2 linked regions of the Caenorhabditis elegans genome follow. The protein of the gene in region 1 interacts with the protein of each later gene in a pairwise test. Each region holds a gene or a part of one and is shown on either strand. Other genes may lie near its edges.

Region 1 (9,077 bases):
AATCACTGAAATAAAAACAGGTGAAATTTAAATATAAAATACAGAGAGATAGTATATGACGCGTGAAAATAAAGTTTGCTTTTTTTCTGACGAACTCTATTGAAAAGTTCAAATTTATCGTAGAATTTCGCTTTTAGTACTGAAAAATAGTGAAATCTGAAATTTTCCGGTTTTCAAAAATATTTTATACCAGTGTTGTGTAGCTCTCGGCTCTCGGCGCAAGAGAGAAAAATTAGGATTTTTGCCAAAAATGTGGTGTGCACTCGCCGAGAGCCGACTTTCTTCAATAGTAACACAGGACTGTTACACAAAAACAGCAGGGAATTCAAATTTTTTATTGAAAATTTTGAGAAATGGAGTTCGAGCACAGAAAATTTGCTAACATCGAAATATTCTAGACTTAAAATTTTTTAAAGAAATTTTTGAATAGTCATTTCGAATTCTCCATCCCTCAATTAGTTTATTCCAGAAATGCCAGAGCGCTAGCTTAAAGTCCCGTCAAATTCGGTGCATTGGAGTACGGTAGACGGTGTTTGCGTATTTCCGGAGCCACAGTAACCAACTGGTTTGAAAATCAAGCTAAAACCGTGAGAAGTTATGTTGTTGAATGCAAAAATAAACGAGGAAATAGAGTTGATAATGTTTTCTAGGAATGAAAACAGATTGAGTTCTGGAAAATTGAGAAAACAATATATATTTTTACCGCACTTTCCACTACTACAGAGTTCTCGTATAATATAGTGTACTTCCGAAAACTAAAAGCTATAATTATTTGTCATAAAAAAATAATTCCTGGGAGTACGGTAGAAGCTACAGTAATCCAAAAAAAATCTTAAAAAAATGCTAGAAAATGAAAAATTTGAATTTGTTATTGTAATTTTTCGGAGGAAAAAAAAGTTAATTTGAGAACCCCCGGAAATCACTTTTTTTCGGAAAAAACCCGCTGCAAAAAACAATCTCAAAATTTTTGAAATATTTGTTTTTTCAATTTATTCGGGAGCTGCAGAGTGAGCTCATAGCTTTCCAACAGAGCGGAAATTAATTTTACTAGTCATTTTTTGCTACGTTGCGCATTATCTTTTGATTTTTTAGTGTACGTGACGCATCAATATTTGGAAATTTAACTTTTTTGAAAAAAAAAATGAAAAATCAAAGTTATTTCAAAAAATGTTTGCAAGATTTAATGATTAGGTAGCTTTAATTTCTGCATAGATTTTTAAGCCAAAAAAGTTTTTCTTTGATTTCTAGATTTCTCTAAAAATACAAAAACGCCGACTACCATATATGCCGGGACTTTTGAGTGAAAGATTTTTTTGTCATTAGAAAGTGCGAGGACCATAGGGCTTTTATGTAGGCGTTAAAATGCCTGCTACCTGATCTCCGCCTGCCCCTCGCTCAATTTCTGCACTAAATGCTTGGTGTTTATTCCACAAAGTGCGAAAGGTGGTTCTTTGGCCGCGACCGACACTATTCGGGTCGTGGTGCAAGGCAGGCAGAGGTCGCCGCAAGGCGGGCGCGGCAGGCGTTCAGGCGCCTACAGGGAAGCCCTAGCAGGCTCAAAAACTTTTTGGAATCTGGTCACTGGTTTTCGTGAAGCTTCTATGTATACATGAGGTTTTCTAAAGTCTGGAAAACAGCAAAAAAGTGTAGAAAAGTACGTGGGAAAATGTCAATTTTTTCTGAGAAAAAGGAGTTTTAACAAAATGATCTAGACCAGAGGTGGGAAAATATTTGATAGTATGTTGCGAGACTGCGAATGATTTGAAAGTTCAACAAGTGTCTAAGTTGCTAAAATTATCAAAAACTTTTACAAAAGTTAAATTTGAAGAGCTAAATTTTAAGAATGACAAATTTGGCAACTTCCAAAGTTGCCGGAAACTTCAAAAACTGGTAGTTTATTCCAAAATAGCTATGTAGCACAAAATTTCAGGAGAAGATATTTATTGGGTTGTGCAAAATCGAATTATATTTGAAAAATGTAAACAAAAAGGTCACTTGTAAGAAAATCGAATTAATAAGCATTGGAAGCAGCAACTGGAGCCGGCGTGGCCGCTGGTGGAGCATCATTGGCGGCTCCCCAAGTTGGAGCAGCAGTTGGAGCACCTCCCCAGGTTGGTGGAGCAGCTGGAGCAGCTCCCCATGATGTTGATGGAGCAGCTGGAGCAGCTCCCCATGATGTTGATGGAGCAGTATTCTCGGATTGCCAGAGGTCAACGAGTGGCTGGGAGGCTGACATTGGTGGGGACTGAGCAGCTACTGGTTGTGGCTGGACGAAGGCGTTGGCGTTGTTGTTGTAGCCAGTTGGTGGGGATTGAGCAGCATTGTTGTTGTAGGATGGGTTCTGGAAGAAAATTGAATTGCATAATAAATTTTCCCTCAAAGTTTTGAAATATGAGCTTCAAAATAACCTAAAAAACATTGAAAAATATCAAAAACTGGCAAAGTTAGGGGTTTTCAGAAATTGAAAAAAAAATTTCTTAGGAAATTTTCTTTAAAACTCAGTGGTACATAGGCTAAATTATCGATTTTTTTTTTGCAAAATTCAATAAAATCCCGATGAAATTTTCAGTTTGAGAAGATTTTTGGAGAGAATTTCAAAATTTTTGGAAAATTCGTAGCTTTTTCAGTTTTTGAGAGTTTTTGGTGATTTTTGTGTCAAATTGAAGCTAAACTTTTATATTTTTTAGGAAAAAATAATTTTTAATTTAATATCGTCTTAGAAAGGTTCAAAAACATGAAAAATTCCTCTCAAATTCCTTATTTTTCGAATTTCAAAATTTTGAGATTTTTCGAAAATCCATAGCATTCTTAGTTTTTGAGACTTTTGGATAAGTTTTGTGGCAAATTGAATATAAATTTTAAAATTTTACAAAAATTCATGTTTGGAGTGATGTATTCAGTAAAATAGCTGAAAAAAGTAGGCCTAATGCCAAATTCTCAAACTTTGGAATTTTCTAAAATTTTTCAAAAATCCAAAACTTTTTCAGTTTTTGAGATTTTTTAGTGAATTTAGTGTTAAATTAAAGCGGAAGTTTCAATTTTTATGGAAAAAACTAGTCTGAACGCTGAAAAACCATATTTTCTTCAAAACTAGACGCTTGAACTCGTCATATGGCTTAAATTTAGGGCTTCAAACTTCGAAATTCGGAGATTTTTTGAACATTCTCAACTTTCTTAGTTTTCAAGATTTTCTAGAGATTTTTGGGCCAAATTAAAGCTGAATTGTTAAATGTTGTAGTGAAATTGTTTTAGTTATATAAAAACTAAATTGTGGTAAAAACCAAAAAGAAAGTCATTGGTCCAAAATTAAAAGTTTTGTTAATTCTGACAGAAATTTGAAAATCTATAACTTTTTCAGTGTATGAGATTTTTCAGTGATTTTTTTGCCAAATTTAAAGTAAATTTTGAAATTATTTAAAAAGGATTAATTTTAAATTTTCAAAAAATTTACTGTCTTCAAAACTAGACTTTTAGACTCGTAGGCCAAAATCTTCAAATATCGAAATTCCGCGGTTTTTTGAAAATTTATAACTTCCTCATTTTTCAACATTTTTTTTGTAATTTTTGAGCCAGATTAAAGCAAAATCACTGAATTCCCAACAAAAAAAAATAGTCCTTAAAATATTCCCCACCTGAGCAGCTGGAGAGGATCTTGGAGCACAGCACACGCACTTGACATTCTTATGATATTTCTTTGGCTCCCAGTTGGCCTCTGACAAGTAGGTAGAGTCAACCTTATGGAATCTTCCACGTCCATGTTTTCCGTCCTTCTCATCAGAATCCGAATCATTATCATCATCATCATCAGCTCCTCTCTTGGATCTCTTGAATGTCTCATCATCATCATCCTTGGTAATAGCCAAGAATCCGAAGAGTTGATCGTTGGGAAGGGAAGTGTCACGACGGGCGGTCTGTTGGCAGCAGAAGTTACAGGAATCTTCATCATGGGTAGCAACTTCGGAGCACTTTACACGAACGGCACGATTAGCTGGGACGGATGGGGCTCCACCGTAGTATGGCTGTGGGTGGCGATGATGGCGGCGGACAGAGTCGACGACGAGGAGCACGGAGGCGTCGAGGTCGCATACGAAGCCTGTAAATATTTTTCATCTTAAAATTCAAAATTTCAGCTTCAATTTAACTTAAAAACTGATAAAATATCTCAAAAACTGGAAAAGTTGTAGATTTTCGAAAATTTTAGAAAAAAACCATTTTAGTTAATTTGACAAAAAAAATTCCTGACTCAAATCAGTTTGTTCTACAGAATTTTAAAAAATTGGCTCTAATTTTACAATAAATTCAATAAAAAATCTCGAAAACTAAAAAAGTTATGAATTTTCGAAAATGTTCAAAAATCTATTATATAACTTTCTCAATTTTCGAGATATTGGGATGGTTTTTGTGGTATTTTGAGGGTAAATTTTTGAATTTTCAAGAAAAATTAGTTTTCGATAAAAATTGTCGAAAAAATTTAATAGCAATAAAATTTGACTCTTCCAAAAAAAAAAGTCCAAAATTTCAAAAATTTTTGAAAATCTATAACTTTCTCAATTTTTGAGATTTTGGGATGGTTTTTGTGTCATTTTAAGGGTAAATTTTTGAATTTTGTATAAAAAATAATGGAAGCTATCGTAACCTAGGAAAAGTGTGTTTTCTACCGAATTTCAATTTCTTTCAAAATATAAAATTTAAGCTTCAATTTGGCATTAAACTCAATGAAATTTTTTGAAAATTGTAGCTTTTTTGAAATTCTGCACCAACTAGATTAAATTTAATCTAAATAAATACTACAGTAACGCAGTTAATTTTGCCAAAAAATTTAAAAAAAATTAATCTTTAATTTGACATAAAAATCAAACAATTATCTCAAAAACTGGAAAAGTTACAGGTTTTCAAACATTTTCAAAAATTCTAATTCTGATAAATTGGCCTAAGTTCTACAGATTTTTTGAAAAAAAAAAACAGTATTTTTGCAACAAAATTTGAAGAACTAGCTTAATTTTGATTTAAAAATTATTGAAAAATCTCGAAAACTGAGAAATTTATGAATTTTTCAAAATTTTTCGAAAATTTGAAAATTGACAAAACTACCTATGAATAAGTCAATTTTTTGATGATTCCCAAAAAATGTTACATTTTTGAAATAAGTTGGCTATTGCGGTTCAAACAAGTATAATCATAACTAGGTCTACGCAAATGCGCTCTATTGCCAAATTACTATAGCTCTTAAAATTTGAATTTTCACGAACTCACGATCTTGAATAAGTGGCTGCCAGTATCCTGGTCCGAATGCTGGGTATCCATATCCTCCTCCATTTCCATAACCTCCTCCTCCATACGATGGACGACCGCCGTAGCGACCAGCAGCGGCCTCTGACTTGACCTCTTCGGTGGGTGTTGGCTGCAGAAAATGTTTCAGATTATCCTAAAATTGCGGAAATCCAAAAAAACCATATACCTTTGCACCGAGGACGGCGGCCAGCGAGGCGACTGTGAGAAGAAGAACGGTTTTCATTTCTGAAAAGCGATCGAATGATGGATTTGTCGGCGGAGCCATGCTTTTATAGTTCGGGGGGAACATGGGATGGGCTCCGCCTACAGAAAAAAAAATCAAGAGGAAAAGCTTGAGGAAGATGAAAGTAGAAATGTCTGAGTTGATGGAACGGGGAAAAAAGAGGAAACATTGAAAAGATGATCGATAGATTTGCACCATATCTCGGCTAATTTTCAAGATATCAAAAAAATTGTAACTAGACAGTTATAGAAAAAGTAATAATAAATAACTTGCCAGTTGATAATTTTTTGATAAAACCAAAGGCTACGAAGATATGAACTGTTAAAGTTGATCAGTAAATTTTTCATCGATGCACCAAAAAGAAGGGAATCTGAAGCATAAATAATGCATGTAAAACCTACTGCCAAAATTTTACAATAAAACTACTCTCAATGCACCATAATCAGCATTTTTGTTCAGCAGCTCGTATCCCTCTTATGTATTTTTATAAATATCAATTTATTACAAAACTTTGTAAAACTATGTAATGCATATTTTACGTGTTTGCAATTTGCTCATTGATATGTAAATTGTTGAAATTTTATTGGCAAATCCATAGAGAAATCCATTAGGAACACTATAAATCACTCCAAAGCTTTCAATTCACAAGGAAAGGAAGTCAATCTAGTCCCGGACTTTGAATCAGGACATATGCCTTTGAAAGCTTATGTTTAGACTAGATCACCAAAAAAATTTCAGCGGCGGAACTCAACTCTGAACCCCTGAAAGCGCCATCTGAAAGTGCTCCAGTGCATTTTTTTGCTGAATTCTAGGTCAAGTAAATGGCCTTAAAAGTGGCTAGAGCGGTTAAAAATTGTTTTTGGGGGTCTTTAGGGTCAAACAAACAGTGTGGAAGCTTTTTGGAAATTTTTATTTTTTTCCAAAAATCTGAAATTTTTGCGGTGATCTAGGCTAACCATAAGCTTTCAAATGACATACGTCTCGATTCGAAGTCCGGGACTAGATTAACTTACTTTCCTTGTCAGACAAATTTTTCACATAATACGTTAATTATCTATTTCATGCCCAAATTCCAGGTATTTGCACATTTCTCCATTCTCATTCAATTGCACTTTCACCCATCACGAGTTGCTCCATATGAAATCATCTGAAATGTCTGAAATTCCAAGCCCACTCAATCATCCCATTTCTCATATAACATGTTGCAATCAGGTGGGCGGCGGCTGCGGCCGGCAGGAAAAAGAGCCCAGCGGAATGTGTGATGGATTGAGCAGCGAAGAAAAAAGAAAATGGAAAAGCTGAAAAAAATAGTCGGTCGAAAAAAAAGTGACCTAAGGATGTGTTGCAACATGTGTCTGAGATCCAGCGGGGTTCAAAGAACTAATTTGTGTATCTTTTAGCAAAGTGTATTTTGAGAAAATCAACACATTTTGAACTAGAACACTGTAGAAAAACTGTTAAGGAACATTTTTCCAGTTGATCAAGTCCGAGTGATTCACCATGTATTGGAGCCTTTTGACTTGTTGGCTCAGTTACCACAGCTGTGAGATTTAATTCCAGGTTCCGTAGCAAACATTTTTGCGCTCCAAACCTTTTTGTTTTTTATCCAACGCCTAACGTTTTCCCCTCAAACTACAATGCCGAGTTCCCGCCTCCATATCTCTGGCGGATCTCAAGTATAAAAGCGGCGAAGCATCTTGGCTCCGATCATCATCATGTTTTCCACCACTTGGATCGTCGCGTCTCTGGCACTTTGCGCCGCTGTCACCTGCGCTGTGAGCACCGAGGCTCCTGAGAAGGTAAGCGTTACTGTTGGTTCTGTTGGAACTAGGAAAAACGGACTGTAAGGTTACTGTAGCTTGATAGATAACTTGATTTAGACACGTTAAAAAGTAAAGCTGTTATAGATATTTGACTAAATCTTGATGTATTGTCAGTAGGTATAATTAGTTGTATTCAAGTTATTAAGATTAGGTTTATTCCGTATCACGTGTGCATTAGTATGTATCACGTAAGGGTTACCTATACTATATTGTGATATCCTAAATAGTAAGTCTAAATAAGATTACTTGCTAAGGTGTAACTTGAATCGGACAGAAAATTTAGAGGTAATAAGATTTCTTGATGAAATGCTATGTTGATTAAGCGTAGATATATTTAATAGAATTCAACTTATTAGGAAGGTTAGTATACATTTAACTAGTTTCTTTTACCTAGGTTCTGCTCCTGGAGTTACTGTGGCTAGATGTAGCTAGACCTTAAATATATGTACCTTAAATAGGATGTAGGTCTAATTCAAATTAAACACGTTACGAATATGGCACATTATTTAATCCGATACAAAGGTAATACTATAAGTAGGCATGTATATTGAATAGTATTCAGGGAGGTATATTAGGACTAATTAAATACTTTTGAGATTAAGTAGTAACTGTTAAATACTGAAAGTGTAATAATTGTTTAGCTTTTAATATTTACCATCATTCATTTGAAGTACTTGTTCTAGGTAGCTTACTATTAGTATAGGAACGTAATCAATACCTACCTTTGAATCTAGACTAGTTTAGAATTTAGTACTAGAAAAAAATTATCAGTAAGTATGAGCGAATAAAATTTTATGTCCAATTTTCCAGCAATCCGACGTCAAGGACGCCCCAGCTGGAGCTCACTATGGCGGTGGCTACGACAACGGACCATCCTACAACCAACCCCAATACCCAGTCTACCAGTTCCCAAACTTTGACGTCAACTATTGCTCTGTCCACGCTTCCTTCCCACTTGTCGGTCTTAGAAGTTAGTTTTAACAACTTTCCTACGGGTCCCGTTCACCTTAAAACTTCTAGAGCACCATCGCGGTCACCACAGAGGCGACCGCGTGAAGAGACAAGCCTACGGAACCCCAGCTCAAGATTCCAACTACAACAACAACCAGCAATACGATGCTCCAGCCTACGGACCATCCTTCATCCAGAGACCACGCCCGTTCGAGCGTCAGGCTTGCAGAAACACCGCCATCTACTCGCAGGAGTCGTGCCAGAACTGCTGCTCCATCTCGTCCCGTGCCGCTGGAAGCTCATCGGTTAGTGCGGGTCAGAGCTATAGCTTTGGTTTATTTTTAGACTTAGGTTTAGGCTTAGGCTTAGGTTTAGGCTTAGGCTTAGGCTAAGGCTTAGGCTTAAGCTGAGACTTAGGCTTAGGCACAAGCTTAGGCTTAAAGTTAGGCATAGGCTTAGGCTTAGGATTAGGCTTAAACTTAGTTCCACCTGTTTTAAGGTCTAGAAACTGTTTTTAGCGTCTGAAAATCATTTTTTGTAATTTTAACGCAGTTTTTAAGCAAATTTTGAGGCCTAAGCTCTTTTGCCTCTACGAAACATATTTGAGGTTGCAAAGCAATTTTTAGTGTATCTGAGAACATTTTTCCGAGTTTAAAAGCTCGTTTTTAGTTGCCTGAAGCTCGTTTTCCCCCCAAAAATCTCTCCAATTTTGCAGAAAGTCGTCGGAATTCTGATGATCTTCGACCCGAAGCTGTCCGCCGACAAGAAGCACCACAAGAAGGACGACG
Region 2 (8,264 bases), on another chromosome or scaffold:
AAGAGTTAATACGAAGAGACGGTTCTAGAATGGTATTGAAGAATCTCAATAGTACAAATAATATTTTACGGTCTCAAAATTGATTCGCTCACCTTTTAATTATGTTTTATGCTTTGTCAGATCATTCCCGAGTTTCCAAATGTTGTTACCTCATGTTTTATATTTTACGAGATGAACCCGATGCATCGGCCGATGTGAAATGAAAAATATTTTCTAACTGTTTCAATATTCTAATGCGTTTTTTGCTACGCTTTTGTTTCTTTCTTCTTGTTAAAAGCTAACCTTATTCATAAAAAATTTCGATTCAAGATCAGAATGTCTGACGATGAGGATGACTACATGTCTGCTGAAATTCTCCAAGGAGTTAGTGAACAACCAGTTGGAATTGCAAAATCTAGAGCTCACAAGCGAGAACTACAAATAAATTCAAGATTTGAAGAGTCCAGAGACACGTTTAAACCAAAAAGGCCAACTAGTCATGCTGAGCGAGGTTTGTAAATCGTAGTATATTATTTTTGTAGTTTACCAAATAAATTTCAGAAAAAGAACGTCGCGACGAGGCGCTCGCAAAACCGATTAGCCACGAATCGAAAGGATTTGCATTGATGGCAAAAATGGGATTCAAACCTGGTATGACATTGGGAAAGCAAAGAGAAGACGAAATTCGAATTACGGAACCAATTGGTGTCGATATCAAGGCTAATAGGAAGGGACTTGGGCACGAGGTTGAAGCAGTTCAAGAACGCAATGAACGAGTTGAGGCTGTAATGCAAAAAATGAAAGAACAAGCGGCAAAGCATGAAGAGCTGATCGATGACTATTCCAAACGGCGGAAGCTTGATGCCAACTCAAAGCAATTAGTCAAAGACATCAGATCTTGTCGAAAGGTGTGCGAAGAGTTGGATCATCGAATTGGAAAAAAAGTTCCCAGTGTTTCGTGGTTTTGGAGAAGTTATAAAGTTGCTCAAGAGGAAACTACATCTTACCATAAAAAAGTTGAAAAAGAAGATGAAGAATATAAGTACTCAAATGGTTTAGCAGCTCCAGAAGATCCGAATTATGATTTCACAATGTCAACGGAAATTTTAGAAGAAGCGTAAGTTTTTGTTTTGTAGATAAGGTTTCAATGAGCGTTATTTATCCAAACCGACAATAGTATTAAATATGCGTTTATTTCAGACTTTCCACTATCAACAATTATCTTCGAGATGGTCACTTCTATTGTATTTGGTGCGGAGCCAACTTTTCCTCGCCAGAAGATATGATCGAACATTGTCCTGGGAGCACTCGTCGAGCACATCATGGAGAAGATGAATAGATTAATTATTTTCATAAAATCTCAATTCTTGATGTATATACTATGAATCCTTTTTTATAACCAAGTTCGTGTCCTAACATCGTGTCACTTTTTTTTTTTGCTTTTTTGCTTCATTATTGTCTGCTCCTGTGTTGTTTCTCAAGGTGGGAACGTATCAAGTGACAAGTGACCACTAGTCAGTCAGCTTGAAGTGGCGATCAGTTGCCGCGCACCACCAGTAGCCCCCAACAGCGCGAAAAGCTTCTTTAGCGATAGAAAAGAACACAAACAATTGAAAAAGAAGAAAGTCCAGTGCACACACGACACTTGTGCTTCTTCAGCTACAGTCTTCAGTGGGCAGCAACATCAAGTTCCACCATCTTTATCATCTGCTCATCCATTCTCTCGATCTGTTCCGGTAAATTTGATTGCCAATCATTTTGCAAATCATGGCATGGTTAACGTCCATATTTTTCATTCTTCTAGCCGTTCAACCGGTTCTTCCACAGGATCTATATGGCACAGCAACTCAGCAGGTACAGTGAACTGTTCAAAAATTTGTAGCATTTGTTCTTATTTCTCTTTCTCAAAGTTTCTAATGCTTAGGGTCTCACCACGACCAAGATATTGTTCAAATGAAGGGCTCGCCAAGGGATTTGCACCTATAAGGAGTACTGTAGTTCAAGTTCAAGTTTTTTTTTCAATTTTTCCTCGTTCGTTCCGATTTTAATGCTTTATTTCTAACTATTTGTTTCGTATTTACATATAAATCGGTATGAGCTACAAGGAAAATATTTATGTAAAATCGAAAAAATTGTGAAATGAGTCGCACTACAGTACTATTTAAAATCACCGTATTTAAAATATTTCTGTCGTATCGAGACCTAATTTTGACAAAAAATCGCACAAAAAATCATTATGGTTTTAGGCAACATAAAGATTCCAATTGGATTCACAGACGATTTAAAAACTTAATTTTGAAAAAAATCAAAACAATCGTTTTTCTTTAGTGAATTGTATAAATATTTTCCAGCAGCCTTATCCATATGTACAACCTAGTGCTTCGTCTGGTTCTGGAGGCTACGTTCCAAATCCTCAATCAAGCATTCATACTGTTCAGCAGCCATATCCAAATATTGTAAGTTATAAAGGCTTGGGCCAGGGCCGAGGATAGGTCTATATTTGTTTACATTACCAGAATATCAAGAAACAATATTTAGGATGTAGTCGAACCAGATGTGGATAGTGTAGACATTTATGAAACTGAAGAACCTCAATTTAAAGTTGTGAACCCTGTATTTCCACTTGGTGGATCTGGAATCGTTGAACCTGGTACAATCCCACCACCAATGCCTCAAACTCAAGCTCCAGAAAAACCAGACAACAGCTATGCAATTAACTATTGTGATAAACGAGAATTCCCAGATGATGTACTAGCACAATATGGATTAGAAAGGATTGATTATTTTGTATACAACACTTCATGCTCTCATGTTTTCTTCCAGGTAATTTTTTGGAAATTATTTTTCTGAAATACAGAAATAGTTGAACAAATGTATAATTTAAAGTATTGAAACTTATCTTTATTGTATGCACGAAATAAGCTATTTTTATTTGTATGCTATCAATATTTATATTTCTACAGTCAATAGATTTCTGAAATTCCGAACTTCTTTCATATTTTCAGTGTTCAATTGGCCAGACTTTTCCTCTGGCGTGTATGTCCGAAGATCAAGCATTTGATAAGTCTACTGAAAATTGTAATCACAAGAATGCTATTAAATTCTGTCCAGAATACGATCATGTCATGCACTGTAGTAAGTCATTCAATTAAGAGTATGTATAAAATTTCATATGGCGTTGATGCACCATGAGGTGCGCTTGAAAGTTTGTAAATCTGCAATTTTCTGATTTTGATTTTATGGAAACTTAATTATTTCATCGATTTTTTCTCGAAATCTATAAAATATATTTATTTACAAAAAGCTCCAATATAAAATAGTGTTTGATATTGCAGCAATCAAAGACACCTGTACTGAAAATGAGTTTGCTTGTTGTGCAATGCCTCAATCCTGTATCCATGTGAGCAAACGTTGTGATGGTCACCCAGACTGTGCCGATGGGGAAGATGAGAACAATTGTCGTAAGTTACTCATTACAACAATTGCCAATTAAATTGAAAACCTTTAGCATCGTGTGCACGTGATGAGTTTGCATGTGTGAAGAGTGAACATTGTATTCCTGCAAACAAAAGATGTGACGGTGTGGCTGATGATTGTGAAGATGGATCGAATCTTGATGAAATTGGATGCAGTAAAAATACAAGTAATTTTTACTTTTTAAAATGTACTTTATAACAAAGTAATTAAAGCTTGTATTGGAAAGTTCGTCTGTGGAACATCGCGTGGAGGTGTTTCATGTGTGGATTTAGATATGCATTGTGATGGAAAGAAAGATTGTTTAAATGGAGAAGATGAAATGAATTGTAGTAAGTTTTTTTCTGCCTCCCTTCTTCTCACCCGGAAAACACCTCTGGAAAGTTATAAGTGGCGAAATAATGTACAGTACTTCCTCTAATAATATCGCATCCTACTATTTCACTTTAAAAGGTTATACCTCGGTTCAATTTAAAGATATTGAACATATTTTTCAATAAATAATTGACTGCAAACGATAGAAAAAAGTTTTCAAAAAATTGTCAAATGACAATTTTTAAATAGGAGAAAAGACAACTGAGATATTTAATTGTCAAAGTCTAACATTGGGAGTGCAACATTAATAGAAATACATACAATTTGGAATGTCTTTCTTAACTATAACCACACATTTTGGCACAACTTCAATGTGCGAACTTTTTCTTGTTCGAGACAAAAACATAGGAAAAAAAGTATTTTTAGCCAAGTGTCCAAATAAACACTGACGAATACTACACTTGTTATTTCAGAACAAGAAGGACGCCAAAAATATTTGCTCTGCGAGAATCAAAAACAATCAGTGACACGTCTACAATGGTGTAATGGAGAAACAGATTGTGCTGATGGATCTGATGAAAAATATTGTTACTAGATACTGCTGAACTTCTTGTCGATTTCCCTTAATTTATAAATAAATACATGAATGTCATTGCTTCTTGAAATATTCTTTCAAATTATTTGACAAAACGATTAGTTTCGCTTTGAAAATTTGACGGAAAAGAGGTCGAAAAGGGTGGGGACTGGTTATTTTTCAAGGTTTACTGTTTCTCTTTTTCTCTTCTTTTTGTTACTCTTACCCCTTTTCAACTTTGACACCGAAAGTCAACCAGTGTTAGACTCATGAGTATTTCCGTATATTCTGTTACTATTTTCACACTTTTGACATTACTTCCGTTAATATGTATATCACTGGAGTGCATCAACTCAACATCATACATGGACAGAGTTCTCGTCAAACCAATGAGCTCACATTGTCGTTTGAATAATGCACTTTGTGTGAAGACAATGCAAATTAGTCAGAATTCTGGTATGCACATATTTTTTGAAGTTGGAACTTTTAATATTGATCATTTCGTATTGACCGTCTCCGACTCAATATTTTTTGTTCCAACATTGATTAACTACCATTAACTGTCATTAAGTTCTGGTCCAAAAAATTGAATCAGAAGTTGGCAGAAGTTTGAACAAAGTTGAGCTAAAATTTTTAAAATTTTTGGCGCGCTCAAAACCAAATATTTCTTAAGTTTTACCAAAGTCTTGCCAATTTTTGAACAAATTATATAATTGGTCCAATACAAGGCTGATTTGAAAAAAATCTATCAATTTTGTTTGAAAAGTTTCGCAAAGTCAATTTCAATTTAAATAAATCCGAACTATCCTAATTCCGAATTTTATTTTTTATTGTCAGTGCACATGACCCCAGGGATAATCTAGATTCAAAGTTTATTGACTAATCCATTTTACCGTTCCAGATGGTTCACCAAAGGTATTATCTATTCATCGAGAGTGCTATGAACTTGAACCACCACAGGCTTATAGAGATGGTAGAGGATGTTTGGATTCATATGATGAAGATGATCCAATTTCTAGACGAATTGGTGAGAATAATACTTCATTACCACTTTTAGGGTCAAGGTTTCATAGATTTTTTGAGAGTAAACGTGTAGCTCTTTTTTCTTAAACTTTTGTTAAGTAATTTATGCAACTTTATTGAAAAGTCTCTCACTAATTCTTTCAAAACAAAAACAATTTTGTTACTCTACTGACGTGAAAACATTTAAATTGATTTCTATTTACCTGTCTATAAAACTAGAGACTGAAAATCAACAAGAGAAATAGACATTTAAACAAATCAACATTCAGGGCCACACTTGATCACGTGTTACTGTTCATCGGATTTATGCAACTTCTGACTTTACCCACTCTTATTTTTATTTTCTTGAATTATGGTACACCATGTCTTTCACTTCGAATTCTTGTATACTCTCCACGAATGATACCGAGCCATGTGGCATTTGTGGCAAATATAGCTAATCTTCTTGGTCAACGGGGCCACAATGTTGTAAGTTATTCGAAAAAAGTACAAATAAAAAATTAAAATTTCAAACTTCAGGTAGTTGTAGATAATGTGCTTCGCAGTGATATTTCAAACAAATTAGATTTGAAAGTTATTGAAAAGGTTGTAAAAGTTGAAACGGTCAGTTGACAGACAATTATAATGAACACAAATTTTATGACATTTTTAGTCGGCAAATGTTGCAAAATTGCTTGCTGATCAAAGTATTCCCATAAACTTTTGGAGTATGCGAAATGAACCAGAGGAACAGAAGAAGGTTATGAAACAATTGGGAATTATATTTTTAGAACAATGTAAATATTTGGTATCAAAAGAAGAAACCGTGTTTAATGAATTGAAACATTTGGAATTTGATTTTGGAATTCATGAAGTTTTTGATATTTGTGGAATTGGAATTTTTGAAAAACTGGGTATCCGAAAATCTGTGATATTGTCTTCAACTGGAATGAGAGATATTGTTAATGAAGCTCTTGGTATTTCGAGTCAATTGCAAGATGCTTGTGAGTTTTTTTGATCATCGAAAAATTGAAATCATGATAAAATTATTTCAGCGATTCTTTCTGATTATGGAAATAGTATTCCTTTCTATGGAATACGGAGAAATTTAAAATTTCATTCTGCCTGGAGAAACTTTTTTGAGGTACAGAGCAAGACGTTGGAGCCACTTTTTGAAACAACTAGCAGCTTTGAAGTAGGTTCACAGCAATTCTTTTTTTTTCAAAATGTTTTTGCTTTAGAATCTCCTCCGATTTAGCAATCTAATGTTTTTGAACACCCATGAGCTCGCAGATGCTCATCGACCATGGAGCAGGAGAGTTCATGAAATTGGAGGAATATCCTTTAAATTTCCAATGCCACTGAAAAACGTCAGTTTGTTTTTACGCGTTGAAAAATAAAACACAATTTTCCAGGAATATATCAATCTATTCAATAAATATAATTCCATAATCCTTGTGTCATTCGGAACTACAACACCTTCGTTTTTGATGCCCGAGAAATATAAAAATACGTTAATAAATACTTTCCAAAGGTTTCCTGACTTTCTTTTCATTTGGAAATATGAGAAAGACGACGAGTTCACACAGAAAAATAAGAAAGGGAATGTGGTTTTCAAGAAGTTTTTGCCTCAAGTTGATTTATTAGGTGAGATGCATAAATTTAGAAAAATTTGGTACGATTTTGTAGCCAAAGTAAGTTTTTATCTTCTTTTAGAATGTCCTGAAAAAATAAAATGATTTTTTGAACAAGAAAAGTCTGAAATTTTTCCAGGTAAAAAAACACAATCCAGATCGACTTTTCTAAATTTCATAGTGCTCCTTAACAGCTAAATTTTTTTGTGTTATTATATTTCAAAAACATAAGTAACTTTCGTTAAAAATATTTTCAGAATCAAGAAAAATCAAATTATTCATCACACATGGCGGTCAGAATAGTCTTCTTGAAACTTTTCATTCAAACACTCGTACTCTGATAACTCCCTTATTTGGTGATCAACACAGGAACGCTCAAATTGCATTGGAAAACGGATTGAGTCATGTTTTACTCAAAGATCAACTAGCGAATGAAGAATTGGTTTATGCAGCAATAAAACAAGGAACTGAAAGTAACAAAAAGTAAAATAAAATTGAAATTGTTTTAATTTTTGGAATGCAACTTATTTTACAGACTAGATGACAACTTGTTAAAATTATCTTCAAATTTGAAAAATGCGAAACAAACTTCCGAAAACCTTTTCCTGGATACTGTTGAATCTACATACACTGATAACTTATCGCCTCTTAACTTTGAGTTTTATCCAAAATTGTATTCCTCTGATCAAATTCTTTTATATTTAGACTCAATTGCCATGTTTACTCTGACATTGTTGACAATGATATTAATTAGAAAGTTTCTTCTATAAAATATTTTCATTCATGCTTCAATAATTATTTCGTCTCATAAATAATAATAATGGGGCACATTTCTAGAACTTAATAGCCAAAATCTGTTACTTTGGCTTCTCTCCGTGTTCCTTGATTTTAGAAACCTTATAACAGACAATTAGATTTAGAGCTCCGCCTAATCTATTCCATATAAATACCCGATGTGTTGCAAAAACAAGTACATTCAGGTGTCGAAATGTTGTGGGCTTTCATCGTTTGGCTCGGTGCTCTTTGCATTTATGGATCAGCTTTTGATATTCTGATTTATGCTCCACGAATGATGCAGAGTCATGTGTATTTCACGGCAAGGATTGCGAATGTGCTTGCAGCAAGAGGACACAAGGTGGTAGGTCAATTCAATTTATTTTGCACGTAGAACAAGTTATTTATGTAGGTAAAATTCTGATAAATATATTTGAGAAATAAGAGGAATTGTACTTACAAACAGGTAGTTGAAAGAAATACGACTTTTAAAGTAGATGACGGCAAAAAAT

Evidence for each region.
Region 2: the proteins of perm-4 (region 1) and lrx-1 interact in a two-hybrid assay, tested with the Caenorhabditis elegans proteins (one large-scale study listed by BioGRID).

The regions. Positions count from the first base shown.
Region 1 is NC_003282.8:1,119,571-1,128,647, forward strand, and holds perm-4 (PERMeable eggshell), read right to left. Parts: upstream 5,538-9,077; 5' UTR 5,516-5,537; coding exon 5,459-5,515; intron 5,402-5,458; coding exon 5,254-5,401; intron 4,094-5,253; coding exon 3,633-4,093; intron 2,342-3,632; coding exon 2,012-2,341; 3' UTR 1,924-2,011; downstream 1-1,923. Other genes in the region: perm-2 (uncharacterized protein), read left to right, coding at 7,231-7,314, 8,149-8,308, 8,359-8,594, 9,005-9,077.
Region 2 is NC_003283.11:12,251,032-12,259,295, forward strand, and holds lrx-1 (LRP X(cross)-hybridizing), read left to right. Parts: upstream 1-1,653; 5' UTR 1,654-1,746; coding exon 1,747-1,833; intron 1,834-2,330; coding exon 2,331-2,435; intron 2,436-2,517; coding exon 2,518-2,802; intron 2,803-2,984; coding exon 2,985-3,114; intron 3,115-3,314; coding exon 3,315-3,440; intron 3,441-3,487; coding exon 3,488-3,622; intron 3,623-3,668; coding exon 3,669-3,785; intron 3,786-4,241; coding exon 4,242-4,363; 3' UTR 4,364-4,419; downstream 4,420-8,264. Other genes in the region: rad-50 (Zinc-hook domain-containing protein), read left to right, coding at 1-28; T04H1.5 (G patch domain-containing protein 11), read left to right, coding at 316-490, 541-1,096, 1,180-1,318; T04H1.12 (Activin_recp domain-containing protein), read left to right, coding at 4,612-4,798, 5,244-5,369, 5,635-5,684; Putative UDP-glucuronosyltransferase ugt-55, read left to right, coding at 5,672-5,833, 5,885-5,968, 6,018-6,348, 6,400-6,539, 6,586-6,714, 6,760-6,991, 7,236-7,461, 7,514-7,748; Putative UDP-glucuronosyltransferase ugt-56, read left to right, coding at 7,967-8,116.